Anolis sagrei: one gene and its partner. The protein of the gene in region 2 purifies or fractionates together with the protein of the main gene of each other region. This does not show direct contact. Links are inferred from orthologs where the notes say so. Each region holds a gene or a part of one and is shown on either strand. Other genes may lie near its edges.

The links.
Region 1: the proteins of JOSD2 (region 2) and AHCYL2 purify together in Homo sapiens (affinity purification with mass spectrometry; 3 studies listed by BioGRID and IntAct, counting the BioPlex papers as one, with this or other methods). This does not show direct contact. The link is inferred for Anolis sagrei from reciprocal best matches to the Homo sapiens genes JOSD2 and AHCYL2.

Annotation. Positions count from the first base shown.
Region 1 is NC_090025.1:195,488,485-195,495,722, forward strand, and holds the start of AHCYL2 (adenosylhomocysteinase 3), read right to left. Parts: upstream 3,004-7,238; 5' UTR 2,812-3,003; coding exon 2,452-2,811; intron 1-2,451. UniProt on the Homo sapiens protein: May regulate the electrogenic sodium/bicarbonate cotransporter SLC4A4 activity and Mg(2+)-sensitivity. On the contrary of its homolog AHCYL1, does not regulate ITPR1 sensitivity to inositol 1,4,5-trisphosphate.
Region 2 is NC_090026.1:27,143,188-27,150,057, forward strand, and holds the start of JOSD2 (josephin-2), read right to left. Parts: upstream 3,003-6,870; 5' UTR 2,896-3,002; intron 1-2,895. UniProt on the Homo sapiens protein: Cleaves 'Lys-63'-linked poly-ubiquitin chains, and with lesser efficiency 'Lys-48'-linked poly-ubiquitin chains (in vitro). May act as a deubiquitinating enzyme.

The sequences.
Region 1 (7,238 bases), on a different chromosome or scaffold from region 2:
ATTATTCTTCTTAATATGATTGTTACTTATTGTTATTATTAAGTTTATTAGTCTTGCTATGATTATTACTTCCCATTATTATTATTAGTATTATAAGTACTTATTGATTATTCTTACTACTATGATTGTTACTTTTTATTTGTTATTGTTTATTCTTCTTAATAGGATGGTGACTTCCCATTATTATTATTATTATTGTATTTTGACTAGGATGGTACCTCCCCCTTCTCCTTAATATATTAATATAGTAATAGCATTAATATATTCTTGTTAGGATGGTGACTTCCCATTATTCTTCTTACTAGAATTGTTACTTCCCATTATTATTATTATTATTTTCCATTATTGTTATTATTATTAATATACACTTGCTAGGATTGTTACATCCCATTATTATTATTATTATTATTTCCTATTATTATTACTTCCCATTATTATTATTATTATTATTATTATTATTACTTCCCATTAGTATTATTATTATTAGTAGCAGTAGTAGAATTAATATATTCTTGCTAGGATGGTGACTTCCCATTAATCTTCTTACTAGGACTGTTACATCCCATTATTATTATTATTACTTCCCATTACTATTACTTCCCATTATTATTATTATTATTATTATTATTATTATTATTAGCAGTAGCAGTAATATATTTTTGCTAGAATTCTGACTTCCCATTATTTTTCTTACTAGGATTGTTACTTGCCATTATTATTATGACTTATTATTATGTGTTATTGCTTATTCTTCTTGCTAGTGTAGTGACTTCCCATTATTATTATGACTTATTATTATTATGATGTGTTATTGCTTATTATTCTTGCTAGTGTGGTGACTTCCCATTATTATTGTTGTTGTTGTTGTTTTGATTGTATTGTGACTAGGCTGCTGGCTCCTCCTTCTCCTCCTCCTAATTATTCCTTCCCATTAGTATTAGTATTATCAGAATTATTATTATGATTTATTATTATGTGTTATTGCTTATTATTCTTGCTAGTGTGGTGACTTCCCATTATTATTGTTGTTGTTATGATTGTCTTGTGACTAGGCTGCTGGCTCCCCCCCCCCTCCTCCTAATTATTACTTCCCATTAGTATTAGTAGTATCAGAATTATTATGATGACTTATTATTATTATGTGTTATTGCTTATTATTCTTGCTAGTTATTGCTTATTATTCTTGCAGAGGCTGGATGGCCATCTGTCAGGGGTGATTTGAATGCAATATTCCTGCTTCTTGGCAGGGGGTTGGACTGGATGGCCCATGAGGTCTCTTCCAACTCTTTGATTCTATGATTCTATGATTCTAGTGTGGTGACTTCCCATTATTATTGTTGTTGTTGTTATGATTGTATTGTGACTAGGCTGCTGGCTCCCCCTCCTCCTCCTCCTAATTATTACTTCCCATTAGTATTAGTATTATCAGAATTATTATTATGACTGTATTGTGACTAGGCTGCTGGCTCCTCCTTCTCCTCCTCCTCCTCATTATTACTTCCCATTAGTATTAGTATGATCAGAATTATTATTATGACTTATTATTATGTGTTATTGCTTCTGATTCTTGGTAGAGTGGTGACTTCCCATTATTATTATTATTATTATGTGTTATTGCTTATTATTCTTGGTAGGGTAGTGACTTCCCATTATTATTATTATTATTATTGCTTATTATTCTTGCTAGCGTGGTGGCTTCCCATTATTATTATGACTTATTATTATTATTATTATTTGTTATTGCTTATTATTCTCGCTAGTGTGGTGGCTTCCCATTATTATTATGACTTATTATTATTATTATTTGTTATTGCTTATTATTCTTGCTAGTGTGGTGGCTTCCCATTATTATTATGACTTATTATTATTATTTGTTATTGCTTATTATTCTCGCTCGTGTGGTGGCTTCCCATTATTATTATGACTTATTATTATTATTTGTTATTGCTTATTATTCTCGCTCGTGTGGTGGCTTCCCATTATTATTATGACTTATTATTATTATTTGTTATTGCTTATTATTCTCGCTCGTGTGGTGGCTTCCCATTATTATTATGACTTATTATTATTATTTGTTATTGCTTATTATTCTCGCTCGTGTGGTGGCTTCCTATTATTATTATGACTTATTATTATTTGTTATTGCTTATTATTCTTGGTATTGTTGTTGTTGTTATGACTGTATGGTGACTAGGCTGCTGGCTCCCCCTTCTTCTCCTGCTCCTAATTATTCCTTCCCATTAGTATTAGTATTATCAGTATTATTGTTATGACTTATTATTATGACTTATTATTATTATTATGTGTTATTGCTTTTTCTTCTTGCTAGCGTGGTGACTTCTCATTATTGTTGTTGTTGTTATGATTGTCTTGTGTCTAGGCTGCTGGCTCCCCCTCCTCCTCCTCCTCTTTCCTGTGAGGGTTCCTCTCCCCCTTCTCCTGGTGCCCTACCTTCTTGACGGTGCGTGGGGCTTCGGTGACGGTGCCTCCGGGGCTGGGCAGGGCCTCTCCGAGCAGCCTCCCCCCGGGGTCTCCTCCGTCGGCGGCGCCCAGGCGGGACGAGGCCTGCGACGAGGAGGAGGCGGCGGTGGCCAGGGCGGAGGGCGCCTCGGTGGGGCTGCGCTGCTTCATGGCCGAGGCCTGGGGCGCCTTGGGGGCCGGGAGCGGGGCCGCGGGCTCGGCGGAGGGCGCCCCCGAAGCCGAGGCCACGCAAGGCCCACTGCTTCCCCCTCCTCCTCCTCCTCCGCCTCCTCCTCCTCCGAGCTCCTTCAGCTCCACGGCCGGCGGCGCTGCCACCCGCACCGACATCATCCTCGTCGTCGTCGTCCTCTCTGCTCCAGCACACTCCCTCGGCGACGGCTGCTCCTCGCCTCACACAGGCGCCTCAAGGGGGAGGAGACAGCACGCATGCGCGGATACCAAACCCCGCCCACACGCACCCGGGCGCCTCACGGGAAGCGGAGTCCTTGAACCAACGCTGGCAACGCAGCCCAGGCGAGGAAAGGACTCGCTTTCCCGGCAGGCACCGCGCGGGGAGCGTCGGATTGGTCGGGGGGCGTGGCTAAAGGGTGATCAGGATTCGCCTCAGAGCCTCCCCGGGGATAGTACGCATGCGCTAAGACATAACCCCGCCCATACAGACCCGGATGCCGGCACAAGGGCGTGGCTAAAGAATGATCAGGACACGCCTTAGGCACCTTAGGGATAGTACGCATGCGCGAAGACAAAGCCCCGCCCACAAGGACGCGGGTGAACGGCCCAGGGGCGTGGCTAAAGAATGAGCAGGACACGCCTTAGACGCCTCAGGGATGGTACGCATGCGCGCAGACAAAAACTCCGCCCACATGGACGCTGGTGAAAGGCCCAGGGGCGTGGCTAAAGAATGATCAGGACACGCCTTAGGCTCCTCAGGGATGGTACGCATGCGCATAAACAAAAACCCCGCCCACAAGGACGCGGATGAACGGCCCAGAGGCGTGGCTAAAGAATGATTAGGACACGCCTTAAGCGTCTCAGGGATTGTACGCATGCGCAAAGACAAAGCCCCGCCCATACGGACCCTGGTGTAGGGCCCAGGGGCGTGGCTAAAGAATGATCAGGACACGCCTTAGGCGCCTCAGGGATAGTACGCATGCGCAAAGATAAAGCCCCGCCCACACGGAGACGGATGTACCGCCCAGGGGCGTGGCTAAGGAATGAGCAGGACACGCCTTAGGCACACCATAGATTGTACGCATGCGCGTAGACAAAGCCCCGCCCACACAGACGCGGGTGAACGACCCAGGGGCGTGGCTAAAGAATCAGGACTCGCCTTAGGCGCTTCAGTAATTGTACGCATGCGCAAAGACAAAACCCCGCCCATACGGACCCGGATGCACGGCCCAGGGACGTGGCTATTATAATCAAAGCGAATAGTGGGCGTGGCCATGTTAATATCAAGCTCGCCTGAGTGTAGCACGCATGCGTGGAGAAAAAAACCCGCCCACATAGACCCGGATGGACGGCCCAGGGGCGTGGCTACAGTGTAATCAAAGCGTATAGTGGGCGTGGCTATATCAGTATCTGGTTCGGCTGAGGAATAGTACGCATGCGCGCGGCCAAACCCCGCCCACTCAGACCCGTAGCACGGCCTAGGGGCGTGACTAAAGAAGATTCCCGGCTTGCCGAAGTCTTAGGTATAGACAAAACCCCGCCCACATGGATAGTACGCATGCGCGAAGGCAAAATCCCCGCCCACACAGACCAAGATGTGAAAAGGTTACCTCAGAGTATTCTTCAGGATAGTGCGCATGCGCAGCAACTATGCCCCGCCCACGATGACCAAAGGCGTGGCCAAAAGTATGATTAGAGAATGCCTCACAGAGCCGCCTCAGGAATAGTACGCATGCGCGACACTAAAAGAGAGCTTCCTCTGGCTGTATAGCGCCATCTGCTGGGCAAACGAGGAAAAGCGAAATTGCAAGCCTATCTCCAGCGCCACCTGTCGGTAGACTCTTTGCTAGCAAGGAAAATCTTATTTGGGAATTTTAACCTTCATTTAACCTGTGATTGATGCACTTTGATAGTCTTGTGTTTTATCTCTCTGCTTTACAAAGTTGAGCCCTGCCTCAATTATTATTATTATTAGTCAATTAATTAATAACAATCATAGATTAGTCCTAATATTTTCCAGACTCCAGCTCCCAGAATCCCCCAACCAGCACAACTATGTCGGCTTGAACAACTCTGGCCAATGCAAACTATGGAAAAGTAACTTTCCCCTCCAGAGGAAAAAAGTGGAATATAAATAAACATAATAATCATAACCAACCACAATAATTACTTACTTCCTGGGAAGGAATCCCACTGGAGCATTGCAGCGCACCCACATACCTGGGAGTCACTCTGGACCGTGCTCTGACCTACAAGAAGCACTGCCTGAACATTAAGTGAAAAGTGGGTGCTAGAAACAATATCATACGAAAGCTGACTCGCACAACCTGGGAATCACAACCAGACACAGTGAAGACATCTGCCCTTGCGCTATGCTACTCTGCTGCTGAGTACGCATGCCCAGTGTGGAACACATCTCACCACGCTAAAACAATAGATGTGGCTCTTTTTTTAAAAAAATAAGTTTTTATTGAAATTTTGTGAATATACAAAGGGTTATGTACGGGGTAGGGAGGAAGGGAGTGGGGGGGGTGTGAAAGAGGGGGGGTGGTAAGGGGATGAGATTGGGGGGGGAGAGGGGAGGGGGGGTGAGGTTGGGGGGGGGAGTGTCCCGACTTCCCAAAAACCTTCCAGACATCTTCATCTCGTGTCTTTCTGTTTTCTTGCCAGTCGAATTTCTTTTAAAGTTCATGGTTTATATGCTAGACAGATCTATCGGCAATGGGATCTCCCTTGTTTGGATAAAGTCCTTGAATCCCAACCAGTTTGTTCTTTTATTTGTATCTTTCAATCTTTGCGAGAGACTGTCCATTTGAATAATATCTAAAACCTTTAGAGTCCAGTCGTCTAGGGTTGGTGTTTCTTGTAATTTCCAGACTCTTGCGAGGACTAGTCTTGCGGCAGTGCCCAGAAGAAAGAGTACCTTATCTTGGTTCTTGTCCATTTTTATATTTGTGATTCCCAGTAAGTATGTTTCGGGCACCTGCGGGAAGTTGATTTTCAAGATTTTTTGGGAGGCTTGGTGTACTTCCTTCCAGAATTTTTTAATCTTTTTGCATGCCCACCATTGGTGGAAATAAGTTCCAGTTTCCTTTCTACACTTCCAACATTTATCTGTTATAGTTTTATTGAATTTAGATAATTTTTCTGGTGTGTAGTGCCACCTATAGAACATCTTGTACCAGTTCTCACGTAGATCGCTGGCTTCAACATATTTTAATTTATGATTCCAAATTTCTTCCCATTCACTTAGCAATATGGTATGGCCCACATCTTTTGCCCATTTTATCTGACAGTTTTTAATCTGTTCCTCCTCTGTATCCCAGGCCAGCAACTGCTGGTAAAGTATCTTAATTAGTTTCTTCCGTTTGTTTAATATCTTCTCCCATACTCCCTGAGCCTGGTTAAAACCTATTTTTGCGTCTTCTTTATAATCTTGTTGTATTTGATAGTAGTTTAGCCATGATATATTTTTATTTATACTTTGAATTTCTACTAATGGTTTTAATATTAGGTTGCCCTCCGCATTTTTTGTCAGTAATTGTTGATATGTCATCCAGTTCTCCACTCCTAGCTCCCTTTTGTGTTTAGCCTCGACCGGCGACAGCCATAGTGGTGTTCCATTACAGAGTCTGGGTTTATATTTTTCCCATGTTTTCAGCAGTGCCGCTCTAATATAGTGGTCGCTGAAGCCCTTTTCCACTCTTCTCTTATTTTGCCAAAGATATCCGTGCCAGCCGGCCCTGATATCGTGGCCCTCTAATGCTAGGAGCTGAGTGTCTTCTAATGTGACCCATTCTTTTATGGCGACTAAATTACATGCCTCATAGTAGGCTTTAAAATTTGGAAGGCTCAGTCCCCCTCTTTTCTTGTCGTCTGTTAGTATTTTCATGCTGATTCTTGCCTTTTTGTTTTTCCAAATGAATTTAGAGAGATCTGAGTTCCATTTCTTAAATAAAAAGTCGCTTCTAATTACAGGGAGAGTTTGAAACAAGAATAGTGGTTGGGGGAGTATTATCATTTTCGCTAATGCAATGCGGCCTAATAGGGATATATTTTGGTATTTCCAATTGTCCATGTCCTTTTTTATTTTTTTCCAGAGTGGCTCGTAATTATTTTTAATTAGGGATACATTACTCTTCGTTATGTAGACTCCTAGATATTTTATTTTATTTTCTATTTTGATTCCCGCGATTTCTTGTAGTGTGGTTTTGGCCTTTTGGTCCATATTTTTTACCAGGAATTTTGTTTTTTGTCTATTTAATTTAAATCCGGCCAGGATTCCAAATTCTTCTATTTTTTCCAGCCAATTTTCAATGTTGTTTATTGGATCCTCCACTATGCATACTACATCATCTGCATATGCCCTCAATTTAAAGTGGTGTTTATAAATTTTCATACCTTTCAAATTTGAATCTCTATTTATGTTTCTAATCAACACGTCCAGAACTAATATAAAAAGGAGGGGGGACAGAGGACATCCCTGCCGTGTACCTTGTGTGATATTTATCGGCTTTTTAATTTCTTGATTATTTATTATAAGAGTTGCTTCCTGTCGCGTGTAGATTGCTTCTATTGCGTTTTGC
Region 2 (6,870 bases):
ATAGCAAGAAATTGAAATAGATAAGTAGATTTTTTTTATTAAAAAAAACACAATGTTATCAAATAACATTTGTAGCTGAAATAAAGATCCTCAAGAATTAGGCCCTTTCTACACTTCCATATAAAATTCAGATTACCGGTATCTGCTTTGAACTGGATTATATGACAGTGTAGACTCAGATAGTCCAGTTCAAAGCAGAGAATGTGAATGATCTGCTTTGATAACATGAATTATATGGCTGCATATAAGGGGCTTTAAAAGACCAGGAAAGCTTTTATGGACTTCAGGGCCACTTCAGAAATGAAAAATGGCAAATGGCAGTTGTCACAGTATATTAATACTCATCTAAACCAGTTCAAAGCAGATAATCTGGATTCAAAAACTGGATTGTATGGCAGTGTAGACATGGCCTAAAATGGCAATGGGGATATTGTGGCTAGGGTCACCATCTATGATTGCTTCTGGTCATAGCAGCAGAGAGACAACAAAATCTGGAATACAACTTCTCCAAGTCCTTCCACACAGCCATATATCCCAGAATATCAAGGCAAAAATCCCACATTATCTGAGTGTGGACTCAGTTAACCCAGTTCAAAGCAGATATTGTGGGATTTTTTGCCTTGATAATCAGGGATATAAGGCTGTGTGGAAGGGCCCTGAGTCTACACCGCCATATAATCCAGTTCAATGTAGATTTTACATAGCTGTGTTCAAGTAGCCTCCATCTCTTCTCCAACATTTGTTATTGTGTGATCGCTACTATAACTCTCACCATTACCTTTCTTTCTCTACATGCTCCTTCTACACTGCCATATAAAATCTACATTATCTACTTTGAACTGGATTATATGGCAGTGTAGACTCATAAAATCCAGTTCAAAGCAGATAATCTGGATTCTATATGGCAGTGTAGATCCAGTCTGAGAAATCCCTTAAGTAGAATTTAGAAAGCTGAAATAATCCAGAATGAGTAGCTGAGACAGTGAAACCTTTGCTTTCCAATGGTTTTTATCTACACAAATTTTGTTTCAGGCTCAAGATATTAAAATACAAATAGTGTGTATAAAATTAACTTTAGGGTATTTGTGTACGAAACACAAATGAATATCATGTTTGGACTTGGGCCCCATCTCATTGAGATATCACATTATTTATGTATATTCAAATTAGAGCTATTCCAAAATACAAAATATGTCAAGTTCCAAGCGTTTTGGATAAGGGAAATGCTTGGAACTGTGCTTTAAAAACCTTAGACATGTTTTTTTACTCACAGCAACTCACTTAAACGTGTTATTATAATTTCCATTTATGCGCAATCTTAAAGAGAAGACACTTACATTTCGAGATCTGGACTCTTGTTTGTTTGCTTTAATAATCCTACAGGAGGAGATTATTTACAATTTGCAAATCGTTTCCCTACCTATTATCTAAAATCCCAAATACGACCGAATAACATTCATTTCGCTGTTGTTATTGAAAATATGAAATATGAAAAGGCTAAGAAATGAAAGAACATTGCTTTATTTAGAGCAGGCTTGGGCAAACTTGGGCCCTCCAGGTGTTTTGGACTTCAACTCCCACAATTCCTAACAGCCTACTGGCTGTTAGGAATTGTGGGAGTTGAAGTCCAAAACACCTGGAGGGCCCAAGTTTGCCAATGCCTTGTTTAGAGAGAGGGAAGTCATAAATAGAATTTTGAAACTTTCTAAAAACCAATGGAGGCCGTTAGGAAGCATCTCATCCATAAGGATGGGCTGGGCTAAGTGAAAAGGAGAAGGAATGCACTCTGTACATGCTCAGAAGCACCACTTTTCATCAAGTCATGAAAAGCATGTCACATTTCTAAAAGCAAATGGCTCGCTGTAGGAAACATCCCTCCAGTTTCCATAAGGAGCTGAGCTCCTAACCCAGCAAAGGAGAAAGGGTGCACTCTGTGCATGCTCAGAAGCACCACTTTTCATCAAGACGTGTTAATTTTCTAAAAGCAAATGGTTCACTCTAGGAAACATCTCTCCACTGTTTCCATAAAGAGCTAAGTAAGATCCCAACCCAGCAAAGGAGAAGGAATGCACTCTGTACATGCTCAGAAGCACTCTGTACATGCTCAGAAGCACTCTGTACATGCTCAGAAGCACCACTTTTCATCAAGTCATGTTAACTGTCTAAAAGTAAATGGTTCACTTTAGGAAACATCTCTCCACTGTTCCCATAAGGAGCTGAGTAAGCTCCTAACCCAGCTAAGCAGAAGGGATGCACTCTGTACATGCTCAGAAGCATTCTGTACATGCTCAAAAGCACCACTTTTCATCACGTCATGTTAATTTTCTAAACGCAAATGGCTTGCTCTAGGAAACATCTCTCCACTGTTTCCATAAAGAGCTAAGTAAGATTCTAACCCAGCAAGGGAGAAGGGATGCACTCTGTACATGCTCAGAAGCACCACTTTTCATCAAGTCATGTTAATTTTCTAAAAGCAGATGGTTCACTCTAGAATACAACTCTCCACTGTTCCCATAAGGAACTAAGTAAGTTCCTAACCCAGCAAGGGAGAAGGGATGCACTTTGTACATGCTTAGAAGCACTCTATACATGCTCAGAAGCACCACTTTTCATCAAGTCATGTTGATTTTCTAAAAGCAAATGGCTCGCTCTAGGAAACCCTCTCCACTGTTCCCATAAGGAGCTAAGTAAGATCCCAACCCAGCAAGAGAGAAGGTATGCACTCTGTACATGCTCAGAAACACCACTTTTCATCAAGTCATGTTAATTTTCTAAAAGCAAATGGTTCACATTAGGAAACATCTCCTGACCTCCTATCACTTCCTCTCAGTGAGCTCAAAGCTGGGAAATACACTCCAGATCTGGACAAACACAAGATGGGAAACATCTTCCTACCTGACAGACGACAGATCTCCAAGGAGCCCAACTCGGCAGCATGACTGACCCAGCAGCGGCCAGGCTGACACTGCAGGGCGGGAGGGACTACGGCTCCCAGCATGCATCGCGCGGGGAGGAGGAACTACGGCTCCCGGCATGCCTCGGGAAACATCCTAGTGCTGGCTGTGGACTACAGCGACCAGAATGCAACAGAGGCAGAGGCTGGAGGAGGAGCCACGCCCCTCACAGCACGTTTATAGGGATGGATTTAGAAAAGTGGGCAATAGGGACAGAGCCTGAGAGTTACTGCATAGGAATAAGGAGATATTCATATGAACTAGGAGGTAGATTTGACTACTGTTCTCAGGTAGGAGTAGTAAGATATAGATATGCAAATATGCAAACTGGATACTCATGAATTAATTGTTTTTAGTATTCCTCTGGCTGTATGTATGAGCTCTACACAGTGATAACAATTTCACTATAATGGAATTGGTAGTTCTATGAGAACAGGGATGTGTTGTTGCCCCAACAACACATCCCTTGTTTTCCATCTTCATCGTTATGATCCACATCATCTATTGGACAGATGGCAAGCTATTTAACCTAAGCAGACTGAATGCCAAAACCAAGGTCACAACATCTATTATAGAACTCCAATATGCTGATGATAATGCAAGTCATGCTCATTCAGAAGACCTACAAGCCACTCTAATCATCTTTGTGGAAGCATACAAAAAGCTTGGCCTCTCGTTGAACATTGAAAAAAACCAAAGTGTTCTTTCAGCAGTCACCAGTCAATCCATCTGCAATGCTAGAAATACAGCTTAATGTGTAATGTTACAAAATGTTGACCATTTCCTCTACATTGGCAGCCACCTCTCCAAAAATATCAACATTGACACTGAAATCTACTGTCTAACTGATGAGGCCAACTTCTATGTTCTCCACCTTTCTCTCTGGGCCCTTTCACACAACCCTATATCTCAGACTATCAAGGCAAAAAAATCCACATTATCTGAGTGTGGATTCAGATAACCCAGTTCAAAGCAGATATTGTGGGATTTTCTGCCTTGATATTCTGGGATATAGAGCTGTATGGAAGGGCCTTCAGTTTTGCTGTTAGGGATATTCAGTAAAGCATTCTGGGGGCAGCTGCTGTTTACCTTGCCCGTTGTGGGATAATACACATGGCATTGGAAAGATCGGATTTCTTTCCCAGTTAAAAGTCCCTATTTCTCCAATTCTATTTCAGAGCCCCCAGTAGCACAATGGGCTAGACCAGGGGTCCTCAAACTAAGGCTCGAGGGCCGGATGCGGCCCTCCAAGGTCATTTTCCCGGCCCTCACTCAGGGTCAACCTAAGTCTGAAATGACTTGAAAGCACACAACAACAACAACAACAGTCCTATCTCATCAGCCAAAAATAGGCCTACACTTCCCATTGAAATACTAATAAGTTTAAATTTATTTAAATTGTTTTTCATTTTAATTATTGTATTTTTAAAGTGTTTTTGCACTACAAATAAGATATGTGCAGTGTGCATAGGAATTCATTCATGTTTTTTTCAAATTATAATCCGGCTCTCCAACAGTTGGAGGGACTGTGACCTGGCCCTCTGTTTAAAAAGTTTGAGGACACCTGGTCCAAGCTCTGCAAGTGCAGCATTTTTCCATATGAACCAGAGAATGTTTGAGGATCAGGACATCCGCAGAGATACCAAGATGCTTGTTTATCAACAAGATACCAAGATGCTTGTTTATCAAGCTGTACCCGCCATGCGTTGCTGTGGGCAACCTTCCCTCCCTCTTTCTCTCCTCCTTTCTTTCTCTCCTTCCCTTTTTTTCTTTCCTTCTCTCCTTCCTTCTCTTCCTCTTCACTTCCCCCCTTTTCTTTCCCTTCCTCGTTCTCCCCTTTCTTCCTTCTGTACCTATTCTTGGACTGCAACTCCCAGCAGTCCTTCTGAATGGTCTACCTACCCAGAGGCGGCCCTAGGTAATTTTCAATGGTAAGCAAACAGTATTTTGCCCCCCCCCCCCAACCAATCATTGATATATATTTTCTGTTGATCGTGGGAGTTCTGTGTGCCATAGTTGGTTCAATTCCATCATTGGTGGAGTTCAGAATGCTCTTTGATTGTAGGTGAACTATACATCCCAGTAACTACACTTGCCGCACTTGCTCCCTTGCCTGGCCCGCTTTGGGTCCGGAGGTGTGCCTGAAGACCCCGGCGTGTGCAGCAAAAGTCACCTCTTCTCCTGACTTCCTCTTCAGCCATTGGGACCGAGAGAGAGAGAGAGAGAGAGAGACAGAGGTGGAGATGCCCACCTTTCCTGAAGGTAGGCGCAAAAACAAAGGAGGGAGCGGAGGTGGGAGATACCTCCAGCCAGAGGGGCTCTCTCTCTCTCTCTCTCTCTTTTGGTCCCATTGGCTGAAAAGAAAGTCAGGAGAAGAGGCGACTTTTGGTGCGCACACTGGGGTCTTCAGACACGCCTCCTGACCCGAAGTGGGCCAGGCGCGGCGGCTCAACCCCTTGGCCCACCCGCGGATTGGGGAGAGGAGAGGAGGCGGGTGGAGCTCTGGGGGATCAGGAAAGGGAGCCAGTCATGGGGAAGGGATCTAACATGGAGAACAATTGAGCACCGGCTCTGCTCGTGCACCCGGTGGCCGGGTGGAGCAGGAACGAGAGGGGCGAGGCGAGGCTCAAGGCCCCAGCCCCTTTAGGAAGAGGATCACCCGGCAGCGAGGCAAGAAAGCCGAGGCTCCCCCCGGACTGCTTAGGGCTGTTGTGAGCGGAGGGGGCGCTCCTCAAGTGGCGGTCGAGGGGCATTTACAGAGGCGCCTCTGCGCCCCTGGCAAAAAAATGTTCTGCGACCGCTTACTTCGCGTAATGGACGAGCCGCCCCTGTACCTACCTACCTACCTATCTCTATCTAATCCATTTATCTGGAAGATTGCTGGGAGTCCAGGAATAGGAAATTGGAAATATGCAGTGATTGGGATGTTCTCAAAGAAATCCAAGGAGAAGAAAGCTTCCATCTTGGAAGCAGTGCGTTTGAATCATCCTCCTCTCTTAAAGGACCTGGTCTAGGGGATTCTGGGAGCTGTAGTCCGGAAAAGAGTGTGGATATGCTATTGTGTGTTTTGTTTGCTGGGGGAGTCATTTTTGCGCATGTGTTGTAGTGTCTTTTTGGCTTTTGGGGGCTTTTAAAGTCCCTTTCTCTGTTTTTCAGTGTTTTTATGAGTGATGGTCACTCATTGACCTGATAGGCTTATTATGCCCAAATTTGGTGTCAATTTGTCCAGTGGTTTTTGAGTTATGTTAATCCCACAAACAAATATTACATTTTTATTTATATAGATTGTCCTCCCAAGCCTGTTATACACCTGAAAAATATGAACCATCTACAGACGTCACATTCAACTCCTGGAATGATTCCATTCGCATTATCATCGAAAAATCCTGCAAATCTCTTGGGAACACAGGCAGACAAATGTCAGCATGCTGGAAGAAGCAAAGACCACCAGAATTGAAGCAATGCTCCTACGCCATCAACTCCGCTGGACTGGCCACATTGTCCAACTACCTGATCACTGACTCCCAAAACAGTTACTCTACTCCCAACTCAAGAACGGAAAATGAAATGTTGGTGGGCAGGAAAAGAGATTTAAAGATGAGCTTAATGCCAGCTTTAAAAACTGTGGCTTAGACACCAAGACCTGGGAAACCCTGGCCCTTATATGTTCTAACTGGAGGTCAGCTGTTATCAGCAGTGCTATGGAATTTGAAGAGGCACAAATGGAGGGCGAACGGGAGAAATGTGCCAAGAGGAAGGTGCATCAATCCAACCACAGTCGGGACTGCCTTCCACCTGGAAACTGATGTCCTCACTGTGGAAGAACATGCAGATCAAGAATGGGGCTCTACAGTCACCTACGGACCCACCGCCAAGACACTATACTTGGAGGGACATCATACTCCGATAACGAAGG